Linked DNA regions of Drosophila melanogaster. The protein of the gene in region 1 interacts with the protein of each later gene in a pairwise test. Each region holds a gene or a part of one and is shown in the gene's direction. Other genes may lie near its edges.

The links.
Region 2: the proteins of yip7 (region 1) and Prosbeta5R1 interact in a two-hybrid assay, tested with the Drosophila melanogaster proteins (one large-scale study listed by BioGRID).
Region 3: the proteins of yip7 (region 1) and CG18598 interact in a two-hybrid assay, tested with the Drosophila melanogaster proteins (one large-scale study listed by BioGRID).
Region 4: the proteins of yip7 (region 1) and Cpr12A interact in a two-hybrid assay, tested with the Drosophila melanogaster proteins (one large-scale study listed by BioGRID).

Annotation. Positions count from the first base shown.
Region 1 is NT_037436.4:6,033,419-6,036,690, forward strand, and holds yip7 (yippee interacting protein 7), read left to right. Parts: upstream 1-1,797; 5' UTR 1,798-1,824; coding exon 1,825-2,084; intron 2,085-2,140; coding exon 2,141-2,693; 3' UTR 2,694-2,757; downstream 2,758-3,272. Other genes in the region: CG10477 (uncharacterized protein), read right to left, coding at 317-875, 928-1,187.
Region 2 is NT_033778.4:23,308,143-23,311,383, reverse strand, and holds Prosbeta5R1 (proteasome beta5 subunit-related 1), read left to right. Parts: upstream 1-1,567; 5' UTR 1,568-1,655; coding exon 1,656-1,805; intron 1,806-1,861; coding exon 1,862-2,659; 3' UTR 2,660-2,730; downstream 2,731-3,241.
Region 3 is NT_033777.3:18,249,237-18,252,101, forward strand, and holds CG18598 (uncharacterized protein), read left to right. Parts: upstream 1-1,878; 5' UTR 1,879-1,907; coding exon 1,908-2,042; exon of another isoform or gene 2,043-2,107; coding exon 2,108-2,242; 3' UTR 2,243-2,303; downstream 2,304-2,865. Other genes in the region: CG12320 (uncharacterized protein), read right to left, coding at 2,324-2,865.
Region 4 is NC_004354.4:13,541,624-13,545,408, forward strand, and holds Cpr12A (cuticular protein 12A), read left to right. Parts: upstream 1-2,019; 5' UTR 2,020-2,150; coding exon 2,151-2,463; intron 2,464-2,870; coding exon 2,871-3,079; 3' UTR 3,080-3,284; downstream 3,285-3,785.

The DNA of each region.
Region 1 (3,272 bases):
ATTTGGCTCACCCGATGGCTGCCAGGTTGGGCAGGATGTGGGCTGGATCAAGGCCATTTTCTAATATTTTTAACAATAATAAAAAAACGTTCTAAAATTCTTGGTATTTTCTTGTATGGAATGAATAAAAAGGTTCCTTATTACGTAATTAATACTCAAAATATTTGTTTTAGATAAGAAAAAGATAAGGGTATGTCCAACATAAAAAACATAATCAGTTACAATTCAGATTGCGCTGTTGGGTTCATTCCTATAGCCGCTCAAAAATAGGCAATGCTTTTTAGGAATATGAAAACTGGACTGCGTGGCTTTACGGCTAATAAAACACACCGGACTGGTTCTTGATCCAATCCAGATAGCTGGTGACGCGGGTGAAACCAGCAGGCGCATTTTTCTCACATCCCTTGGAGGACACAAACGAGGTCACACCAATTAGTCTATTGTTCAAAGCCAACGGACCGCCAGAATCGCCCTGACAGGTCGACTTCTTGTTGATGGACTCCACGCAGATAACTCCACTGGTGACCACAGATGACCCAAAGGTCTTCTGACACACAGCATTGGTAATGACCTGAAATTGTGCGTATTGAAGGTTCGTGGCGACGGCAATGCTGGAATCGGAGGTCCTGCCCCATCCGGAAGCCACTGCAGTCTGTCCGGCGTAGGTGGAGTAGCTGCTGGCGATGGCGGGCAGGGCAATCTTATTTATGGAAACCGTAAAAGTGACGGATGGAGTCTTGATCAGGGAGATGTCGTTGCGCAAAGTAGCCGCATTGTAGCCGGCATGCTGCACAAACTTGGAGCTGGAGACCTTTTTCTTCAGTTTGGCACTAGTGCGAACGGTGGACCCATAGTAGATGGTCACGGAAGAGGCTCTAACAGAATAAATCTTAAATCGATTATCGATTTTTTAAAAAAATTACTCACCCTTTGGTGCAATGAGCAGCAGTTAGTACCCATGTATTCGCTATTATTGAACCACCGCACCACCAACTGCCAGCCGAGCTTTTAAAACTGAGTCCCACCTGGTAGGGAAACTGGTTAGCAGCTGCCTTGTTTCCATTGGTAATGCGACCATCTATGGACGGAACAGCTGAGCTATCACGGGGATGTACTGGAGTGTCCTGGCGCAGGATATCAGCAGAAACTGTGGCAATTGCCAAGACCAAGACAGCAAAAACCTTCATCTGGATCGAATACACTTTAAAGAGTGAGCAATTTCTGGTATTAAGGATCATTTTATATTGTCTTTGAAATCAGCAGCGAAACAACAGAATTGTAAATCTTTAACCATTAAATAGGCTTAAAAAGGTCTTAAAACCACTGTACCTTACATCATTATGGCAATATTGCTTCCAATTTACCAAGAATTAAATAAAATAAAAGCAAATGTTTGCTTTGGAATCTTTTTATAAAGTCCTATTCTTTATGGCTTACTCTTTAAGTTACAACGTAAATAGGCAGTTAAGATAAAGAAATATTGATAAGTAATAAATAATTGTTTTTAACCAAGCAAATCCCAACTAGCAAAACAAAAGCACAAAAGTGGTAATGCTACCAAAGTAATTATCTTTTATTCGCACAATTTGAAAGTCCCTAATTTGTGATGAAGAAATAAATGCCAGTAGCTACATTAATATCTTATCAAATAGAAAAATTTTACAAAAGCGCCATATAATAAACTTAAAAAAATTTTTGCGACACTTAATCAGAACATTTAAGTGGACTTGCCCAGCCATCTATGCAGATAAGATTTCTCAGTCTGGGTATAAAAGAGGCCGTGTTGGAAAGGGAAAATCACTCATAGTTTGAGCAACCATCAGCATGAAGGTTTTCGTAGTTTTGGTTCTGGCTCTGGCCTCCGCCTCCGCTGGGCTCCTGCCCAATATTGCCCCTGTACATCCCCGTGACAGGGTCTCGACCCCATCCATCACCGGTCGCATCACCAACGGCAAGGACGCCGTTGCCGGCCAGTTCCCCTACCAGGTGGGACTTAGTTTCTCCAGCTCTGCTGGCAGTTGGTGGTGCGGTGGCTCCATCATCGGAAACGAGTGGGTGCTGACTGCTGCTCACTGTACCGACGGGTAAGTGCATTTTCCGTCCTTCAAGACCAGGTCTAATGAGAGTATTTCCAATATAGTGCCGCCTCCGTGACCATCTACTACGGTGCCACTGTCCGTACTAGCCCCGAGTTCACCCAAGTCGTCAGCAGCTCAAAGTTTAGGCAGCACGAAAGCTACCTGGCTTTGACCATCCGCAACGACATCTCCCTGATCCAGACTTCGTCCGTGTCCTTCTCGGCTACCGTGAACAAGATCAGCCTGCCCGCCGTCTCCAACAGCTACTCCACCTACGAGGGAAAGACCGCTGTTGCCTCCGGATGGGGTCTCACCTCCGACCAAGCCACCGCCGTGTCTCGCGATCTGCAGTACGTGGACCTTACCATCATCTCCAACTCCAAATGCCAGGAAACCTTCGGAAGCCTGATCGTGACCAGCAGGGTCCTCTGCGTTGACACCACCAACAAGGCCTCCACCTGCCAGGGTGATTCCGGCGGCCCATTGGCTCTCGATGGTGTCCTCATCGGTGCCACCTCCTTTGGATCCGCTGATGGTTGCGAGTCTGGCGCACCAGCTGCTTTCACCCGTATCACTTACTATCGCGATTGGATCAAGGAAACTTCCGGTATCTAAGTGTTGAAGTATGAAATATGAAAACTGCAAAATATTATAAATAAAACTGTAATCATGATTTTACACATGTTAGACTTTTAAATAATGTCTAGAGATTGAGATCTACTCTCTTACCGTTTAATGAATCAGATTTCATAATAACTCTTATAGACTAACTTAATACACTTCTGGCTTTTGATATCGCCAAAGTGGGTACTTTATGATCGGTGACGAAATCGGGGCCTTGGATTGTAAAACCCCACAGCCATTCAACTCCAGGAAAATTATCAATGGCCTTTCATGTGTCGAAATGCAGGCGAAGGTGTGCAGTAAATTAAACAAATAATAAACTAAGCGTTGATAAAACGACAGTCAATAAATACAGAGACCCCGACCCAGACATTCTGGCCAATGTTGGGGGCTAAGACTGAAATCGTGCAATTGAGGACCCGGGAAAATGGGGGGTTCGAAAGCAATTAAGGAAACTGCAGTATGCCAAAGGGAGACGAAGGCCTAGCCTAAGCAACATAATCGCCAAAACGTGCGGCAATTACACGGTAGCTGGAGGAATTGAATGCCAAACATCTGCTGCTCCTCCCG
Region 2 (3,241 bases), on another chromosome or scaffold:
ATCCGATGCCACAAAATCGTGCTCTTGGTCCAGCGCTGCAACGATTCGCAGACGGGAAGCTCAAGTTTGGCCTAATCTCTTATTCGCTCTTGACTTGGCGTCATTTTAGTCATTAAAACAGGTTCAGACTGAGTAATCTGCCAGCCACTTCAGGCCAAAAGCGAAGGGAATGGCCAGATTCTTCCACTACGCTGCCTTAGTTAGTTGCCCTCTAATAAACTGGCAGCGGAAATTTTTAACAAGTTGTTGCCAGTGCACAAAACTGGGCTGTAATTAACGCAGGACAGATGCCGCGCAGGGCAGGGAGGGGGAAATGGGGATTCGGGATGCAGGATGATGGTGGCCAGGAGGAGCTGGTGGAGTAGCATCGTCTGGGTTAGACGAGATTTTGCATATCAGATTGCTGCCCCGGCTCCAGTTTGTCCCTGCCCTGTGATTTAATAATCAGAGCTGGCTGTCAAAACTATCCAGCAACTGCAGCGCTGCGAAAGAATTGTCATATTTGTTGATAAGCTGAATACCCTACAGCAATCTAAAGTTTATATAATAAATATATACAAAATATACCGACAAACCTTAAGTATCCAATTGGATACTTAAATAATACTTAATACTAATACTTAGACTTAACATTTAGATAGTCCAGTAAACTATTATGCTTCGTGACCAATAAAATAACAGTGAGTGGTTTCATGTACTCATAGTTAGGGTATGTTTGGATGAAGGGCTTAGCCAGCTCGTTTCTTTTGCCTCGATTTTTCCTTTCCAGCCCGCCTTTCTCCGAATTGCTTCCGCCCCCTTAGTTTTCCATTCGAAGGGCGGGGGGAATGCAGGCTGCAATGGAAAGCGCGTGCAAAAATGAAATGTGCCAATGTGGCGGATGGGAGATGCGGAATGGGGAATGGGAAATGGAATTCGGTGGTTTGGGGAATGCGGAGGCCAAGTCCTCGGCAATTTGCATAAATTTAGATCAGTGACACATGGCGTCCACTAATGGAGGCAGTGGGAGCAGCCGGAGTGACTGCGACTGCCACTGGGATGGGACATATATCACGGGGGGTATCAGGCCAGTCGACCCGCGGACTCAAACAGTTTGGCAAACATTGCCAATTGGCCTTTAATTAGCGGCTAATCCGTTTGCCACCGCCTGCGAGTGGGCGTGGTCACTGCGAAAGCACCTTCTATGCCATTCCCCACTCGTTTTGGTCCCAATTTCGCATCTCGGCAGGTGGCGATGATGACCCTGCCCGGCAGTCCAATTAAAATGTCGTGTATCTCTGCGGTGGCGCCACTGCCACTGCCACTGCCACTGCCCACAGAAGGTCCATTGGATTCCACTTGGGTGGCCGGCGAAAGTGCCGCTGCGACCACTCTCACCCACTAACCATGAAATGCCAATGGAATCGGAGACTGCGAATTGCCGCTGCGGATTGTCCAGTGGAGCGAAACTTTCAAGCGGAATGCGATATTTTGATGGGAACAAGATGTCCAGCTTTCTGATCTTGTGATCTTGTTTTGATTAAAGTACATTTTTGATACACTTGTAAGATGCCTTAGAGACTTAACTCCACAATCATTCGAGCTCGTTTAGTGTGCTCATTTACACATTACACTAAACTATTTATTGGAAATAATAAACTCTTTTTGAACACATAATGGCTCTGGAAGCGATTTGCGGCATGAATAAAATGCCTTTTATGCGGCGCTTCGATGACTTGCAGTCCGAATGGCAGAAGGAGCAGCTTCGCGAGGCAACCAGTAATTTTGAGAATCCCTACGAACTGATGGCGCCTCCCTTCGAAAGAGTTAGTATAGGTTTCATAATCCAAAAGATCCATCTAAGATTGAAACTCTTCTCAAGCCCGCTGAAAATCTGCCCAAGATCCTGTCGCACTGTGGCATTCGCATGGATTTCGATCACGGCACCACCACTCTGGGTTTCAAGTATCGCGGAGGAGTGATTCTGTGTGCTGATTCTAGGGCCACCTCTGGCCAGTATATTGGATCCCAGACGATGAGGAAAATAGTCGAGCTGAACGACTATATGCTGGGCACATTGGCCGGCGGAGCCGCCGATTGCGTCTACTGGGATCGGGTTTTGGCTAAGGAGTGTCGCCTGCACCAGCTGCGCTATCGGAAACGCATGACCGTGGACACGGCTGCCCGGATCATCTGCAACATATCCACGGAGTACAAGGGCATGGGTCTGGTGATGGGCATGATGCTGGCCGGCTTCGACGACGAGGGACCCAAGCTGATTTACGTGGACTCGGAGGGCATGAGATCCCATGGTCAAGTCTTCTCCGTGGGCAGCGGTTCTCCATATGCGCTCGGCGTATTGGACACTGGGTACCGCTATGATCTCTCCGATCAGGAGGCCTATGACCTGGCCAGGCGAGCGATTTACCATGCGACCAGTAAGGATGCCTATTCTGGTGGAATCGTGCGTCTCTACCACATTCATTCGGAGGGCTGGCGAAATATCTGCAATACGGACTGCTCCGATCTCCATGACTCGTATTGCGCATCTGGGTGTCCGGGGAACGAGAAGGATGTAGGAAACGTAGGCGATCCCGACAATGATAAGCCCTGTTCCAGTGGCTGGACGAAGAAGAATATCACAGCAGACAATTTGCAGACTAAGCTGGCAACGGTATGAAAATTTGGAAATTATTGGAGCAACATTAGCAAAAATTTCTGTGGAAGTAAAACTTCTGTCGTGCAAAACGTATAAAGTGTTAGTGTTTATGGTAATGGGAATTTGTGGCAGTGAAGAAGTCCGGAATTTATCGTGAGAATAGTTTTCCGAACCGTATGCTGGATTGTTCTATCTAATCCTCTTCAGTTCTAAAAGCACACATACAGATACATTTCAAAGTTTTAGCCACTAATAATGAAAACAAGAGCTGCATACATACAAATGCCTTTCGCCCCGCACTCGCCACACTTTAAAAGCTGTGCTTCTATCTAATTTTTTTCACTCCTCAAACTCCCCTCTCTTCCATCCTCCACTGCGGAAAATATACGAGCAACTTTCGCTCGCTAAACGAACTTTTCCTATAAATCAAAATAATAACTTCTAAGCTCGCAATGACTTTCCCCAAATGGGCGTGCCGCACACAAAATACGGCCAACGAAATGTTCGCCGAAATGTTGCACTCCGTGTCTTTGGGTTGTCATCAACAAATGTTGCAGATGCCACTGCCTGGAGACTCCGTCCGGGGGATCTGCTCCTCACTGC
Region 3 (2,865 bases), on another chromosome or scaffold:
AAAGCTAAAAACTATATTAAATGAGAAAAAGGAATGTTAGTTAAGCGAAATTCAAAACGAATTCTTAAGCTTAAATTTGTATGTATGTAAGTGTACTGTTCAATAACACCGACACACCCTCACAGACACACACACACACGCGCAGACTAACACACACCCACCACCCACACAGACACCCATATTACGCATACGAGCCGTTTGTTTTCTCTTAGCGTTTCCTTGCTCTCTCACACTCGCACTCATATTCACACTCACACACCCATGCATGGTCAAATCACATGAAACGAAACCGAACAATCGAACGGGAATTTGGTGGATTTCTGTTTTTCGCCTTTCGTTTTGAGTTCTCCATCGCAATCGCAAACAATTTTCTTCATCATCTCTTACCTTGCGCAACAAAGAAACATATTAATAATATAGAAAAGTATTTGTAGTTGCTAAATACAAGAAACAAAAAGAATACAAAACAAAACAACGGTACATATATATACGTATATATATATATATATATTGTATACATATATACTTGTATATTTTCTATGCCTACCACTTATGTAATTTGTAGAGATTTCGAACTTTTCGCCCCACCACCCAACTAACCATCTCTCCAGAGATTCCGATTCCAAAACTCCCCGACAGACAGTCCAAAACCACATTGATTTTTAGCCCCCGAAGTCAAGTAAACCCAAAGATTCTCCACAAGAACAACACCATCATCGGCAGAGTTATCTGTAGCGTGTTTGCGTGATTAGCGAAGGAAAATAGAATGATGAGCTGTGCAGAAGCTACGGGAGAATTTTCGCACGAGCTTATTCGCAGCTCTTTCGCATGGTTTTTGTTTTTCGCTTTTGGTTGTTTTTTTTTTTTTTTAATAAATTTAATAAATGAGGAAAGAAGGCAGACTAATATTTTGCAGTCGCTGAATAGAAAAGGCCCGTGCAGAAAGTTAATTAAGCATAAATCAGCCGAGGCAGCAAAAACAACAGCCACATTCTTGAACGTAACAACAACAGCAATACAAGAAACCAGCAGCTAAAACTGACATTCGTATTCATTTCAAATAAAAATCATAAAAACAAAACAACAATTGGGCAACACAATTTATTATTAATTGAGTTTGGGGCTCGTGTTTTTATGGGCTTGTTTAAATGGTCACAGTCAATCATAGAAAGATTGAAAATATAGAAAGGAACCGAATGTTTTCCTTATCGGCACGCAGTTTCTCTATTAGTTTATTAGTTTTTTTTTTGGAAGTCGACCATAAATAACAATAAAACTAGTTTGTTTTACATTTTGACGGATTTATTTTAAGTGATCCTTTCAATCATGCATCTTTCTTGATTTCACGCGTTCAGTATGATAGAGAAATTTTACATAGTTTTTAAATGAAGTTTTCAATAAAGATTTTCAAACACATTTTCTTCTATCATTATCATTTGCTAATCAAGCATAGCTTCGAATCGAGATCAATCCCACATTCAGTTTTTAATTATTAACCAAGACTTAGCCACAGAAAATGAAGATTCGTACCTGTCAATGCATCCAAAAGATGCGAGCTTAGAAGGCGCACTGCTGCTGCTCAGAAGAAATATATGTCAAACTAAATTCTGTGGTCATCGGAAAATACAAGCAGGCAGGCACATAAAGCGACAGCGCTTCTGCGTCAAATCAGAAGTGTCCACTTAAGCTGAATGTATAGCTGGGCCAGAAGCAACACGAAAAGTGGGTCTAGTGGCCATTGTTTTCAGTTTGCTGATGTGCACAATGGAAAAGCCGTGTGCATACAGATACAAATACTAAGATATCTATATTTAAAAATCTGGACAACAGCTGGAAGAGGCGAAGGTAAGGAAACAGCAAAGGGCCCGAATGCGGTTTAGTTGCGAAACGTTGCTCGAGTCTCGGAGATGGCACTGCAGCTGCAAATTGAGAAGCTCAAAGGTTTGGACAACTACAAGGCCTGGTCGATGACGGTGCGGGCGTATCTGGAGTCGGAGGAACTCTGGACGGTGGTGGAGAATGGTCCCGAGAACAACGAGGAGGTGAGTGATGGTGTGGCGCCGTTTATGGCTACAGAAAACCCATGTCCATGCCATACTCCTTGCAGTCCCTGCTAAAGGACAAGCGGGCCAAGTTCTTGATTCTCTGCCTGATCGAGACCAAGTTGTGCCAATTCATGGTCAGCATCCGCACGGCTCGGGATCTGTGGAATTACTTGCGCACCCAGCATTCGCTGCGTTAAAGTAGAAATCAATATAGATCAGTTTCAGTCCATTGTATTACAAATATATGAATTACACTTCACATGCGTAGCGCCCTTCTCCTAGGCTTCCGGAAGTTCGATGACTACAGGCTGGTCCTCGGGATCCTCGTCTAGCAGGCCCTCGAATTCCCATCCCAATTTTTTCTCCAGCCGCTTAGTTAGCCGCTCAGCGCTGACACTTAAGCCGCCCGCATGCAGATTGACCAGCAGTTCGCGTACATCTTTGTAGACGGTGTTATGCGGACCAGGCACCATCAGCTCCTCGGGCAGATGGGGCAGCTGGTGGGCCAAAACCTCGCTGTATTTCATGTACGTTAACTTGTGCTTGGTGACCGCCGTTTGCGAGTGAGCCAGCAAGCCCAAAAGCTTGCGCCAGTGGGCCAGAGACTCCACAGAGTAGCCCACTAGGAAAAATGCGTAAGCCAGCTGCAGTTCCTCAATGAGTCCATCGGCCGTTTCAAAGCCTTCGAGCAGTTTGTCAACAGCATCGATGCAGTCCAAGGCATGGCGGGAAACATCAGCGGGCAGGGCATCTTGTGGAACACGCAGGGGTACGGTAGTGAAGCGCGGAGCTGTTCCTTCCACGGGCTTAAGGTCCGGTA
Region 4 (3,785 bases), on another chromosome or scaffold:
CAGAGATAAAATACGTTTATAAATAAATCAGTTTGCGCCAGGATGAAGGAAGTGCCTGATGTATCTGTTGCCACTTTGGCAAGTTTAGCGCGCCTCTTCTGCCCGCCCAACTGACGCACTGACAAAGTGACAAGCTGACAGAGTGACTAACTGACAGAGTGGCAAACTGCCACAGTGACAAACTGACTGCCAGCTTGACTGCCCGACTGACTGAGCGACTGTGACTGCGCTTGTCACTGCGACTTGGCCATAAATCTGCGCCGGATGCCGCGAAAAATGCAAAACAATGTGGCTAAAAATAAGAAGCAAAAAATATTAAATTATTTCATAAATGCTATCTGCTTAAGAGGTGACTGGGCCTTAATGCACCGGCGTGACCTTTGAGGTGTGCGCAAATTAATTAAACGGCGATAAGTCCGTGTCGACATATTGACAGCTGCCCCCGAGCAACACTAACCAATAAGTTTCGCTGTCCCTGAGCTCCTGCGTTTCCTGGGCTTCATGGGCTTTCTCGGCTGCCCGAACCCCCCGGCTCAATTGCACATCATTAACTTTGGCCGACTGACCAAGTGGGTCCATTTCCCCAACCCCCTGTGCGCCCCTGGCATTCAGCTGGCCAGATTCCAGGCCTGTGTTCGCTAAATCGCTGCACATTAAATGCAATTAAGAAATGATTGAAATCATAAATTAGCCCTAATTGGCCACAGGACGCTCGCCTCGTTCGCTCCTCCTGATGCTCCTGCTGCTCCATATCTTCCTTCCCCTACGCACCCCCCCCCCCCCCCACCGATCATGTGCCGCCCCTGGTGTTGCATCTCCACCGCTCGGAATACGCTGCCTTTCAGCTTAACGATGACAGGCGGCACGTACTGGCTGGCCAAATTGTAGGGTGCAAGAATTGTAGTATTTTTAGCTGCTGCCCAGCACCGTGGGCTGCAATCTAAGGATCCGCTTCCCTTATATCTTTATGTCTTAAACCATAAATATATTTAGCTTAATGTTATACAATTTTTATAAATCATTACACCAGCTTATTAGCTTTAATATAATAGTATATTTAGCATAGAAACCAGCAATATAGATTCGACGGATAAAGATACCTACTACTCACTTCAGTCTTTATATACATATATCTAAAGTGTTTTCACAAATTAAAACAACCATATTTTCTACAGCCTAATAAAGACATGAATTTAATTGCCTATTAGTTGTTGAACAGCCATTCTCAACGGTTAGCACAAAAGGCACTTTATAGCGATTCCCTGGCCATCCATCAATTGGCTGCAAATCGATTATGTCTGCCGTATCAGTTTCGAACTGTGATTGCTTAGCCCCACGCCCTTTCCGCCACATCCGCCCCCTTTCCACCTTAACCCCCGGAATGCCAACATTATCGAAACCCACTGGTTAACCCATTGTGAGCAATTTGGCGGCCGTGCGAACAGCGCCAAAAGCAAACACACAAAAGAGGCGCAACCAAATTGCCCAGTTAGCAACCTGTCCAGCCCCTGCCCCGCCCCAACCGCCCCCTTTAACCCATTGAGCTGGGCACACCGATAAGCATGTGTGTAAGTAGATGAAATTAAGATTTTTTTTATATGATTAAGCGTCGAGAATTTTTGACGGCAATGGCTCAGAGAGATGTGCGTGCACTGAGCGAAAAAGGTACGATTTCTGCATTATATTCTACAAATATATATATATAGATTTTATCAAAATATTTCATGACTTCTGATAGATACAAATAAAATATAAACGAGCCTCATAAGTCTTAAGCTTCTAATTATTTTGTAATGCAGTTAGCTGGCTTATTGCTAGGATTTTTAATGGTTAAATGGCGCAACTCCTTTTCTAGCCGTGTACTCGGCTCTCAGTCACCCTTTCGGATATCCCGCTTCAGCTCAGGCTAAAGATCTTCGCTGCCTCGGTCGCCGCCGACTGCGCTGCTCGCCTCGCTGCCTTCTCGATGTCGACTATAAAAAGCCAATGTTACACTGTTTCCGAATTAAACCGCTAAGAAAACATCGCGCGACAGCACACACACCATCCACCTGCGTAGCCCAAACATCCCACACATCCATCCCACCACCACCCATAAATCACATTACATCCACATATCCACACACACATTCACACCGATCCGAGTTAAAATGGCCACTTCCGGTTCGATCCTGTTCGCCATCTTCCTGCTGAGCGCCACCCTCATTTCCGCCCAGCAGATCAAAGAGTCGGCGCCCAGTGCGCGATTACTAGATCGATTCGATAACCGATATCCCGACGGCAGCTACGAGTATCGATTCGAGTTGGACGATGGAACCGCTCGCTATGAACGTGGATATTTCGTTAAGATCAACGATGTAAAGACCCTGATGGTTGTGGGCTACTATGCCTATCGGATGACCGACGGGCGTTACATCACCGTCTTCTACAATGCCGATCAGTTTGGCTATCGACAGAATCAGTGTAAGTATCGGAATTGCGGTTTTCGGTGTGAAGTGATCACAAAGAATTTCAAAGTGATGACAAGGGGCTTTCATTCTTAGAAATATTTTATGTATTAAACACTAAAATATTCATAAATAAGCAAATTATTTTCATAGGAAGGATATGATTTGTGTACTTTGTTACCCTTTTTTTTATATAATTTGATACACTAGATCGATTATTTCGAGTGAGAGCACACGAATGACGGCTCTTTTTGAACACGAGTGAAATGATTAATGTAAACGAGCCAACCATTATCGCAACTCTTTCAGCGAAAATTAATAAGACACGCAAACACCCGTCGATTATTTTCAGCCCAAGAGCACAGATAGCCCTCCACTCGAATCTGGTTTATATTAAATTATATTATTTTGCTACGCCCACAGCGATCACGCCGCAGGAATATCCCAATCTGCCGCGTTCCATCGAGGTGCCCATGGTCAGCGAGGCATCTGCGGCATCCGCGGCATCTGATGGCGTCTCCAGTTCCCAGTTCCAATCTCAGTTTCAATCCCGTCTGGATGCCCATGGTAACCCCTCCATCACGACGACCACGCCCAGGGGGGCGGGGACAAATCGTAGGGGCCGCTACTGAGAGTTCGTAATTGCACACCATGCCCATTATTATTATTGGCTCCCTACATCGTTTTTTATACCTTATTTTATTATTTTTTTTTTTTAATTTTGTGCCCCCGACTACTCGTATTATATTATTATGAATTTAATTTCTGTCCACATTTTTGTTGTGTTCAATGAAATGGGATTAAAAAATAATAAAAATTTATTAAGGCAAAGCAGCGAAAAATTATGAATTTATTATTGAAGATGTTTCCAGTTGTTTGTAGCTGTTTTGTGGATCTGTTTTTTATTGCTGTCCACGCCCCTTCGCGCCTCCAGCCCCCCTTACCAGAGTTCGTTGCGAAGATTTCGCGATTTTTCGAAAGTCGCCGACAATTTGGCAATAAATTTACCACAAAGCGTTTCGGGCAATAAAACATACAAGTGCAGGGCGGCCCCTCGCCACCCTGGGGTTATATATATATAAATATATATACATATTGGATCTGGACATATTTTTGCATTTTTAACACATTTTTGGCGAGGTTCTCGAGCCGAGGGCAATTAAGAAACGAAAACGAAACCAAACAAGAAAATGTCCAGTGCACAGAGAAAAACTATAAGGTATTTTCAGCAAAAAAAAAAACAAGTTGACTTAATAAATAATTACCGCACTTATTGCCTACATAATAATTTCATTGATCAATTTTATTCTGTGCAGTAGAATTAATGTATAAATCTAA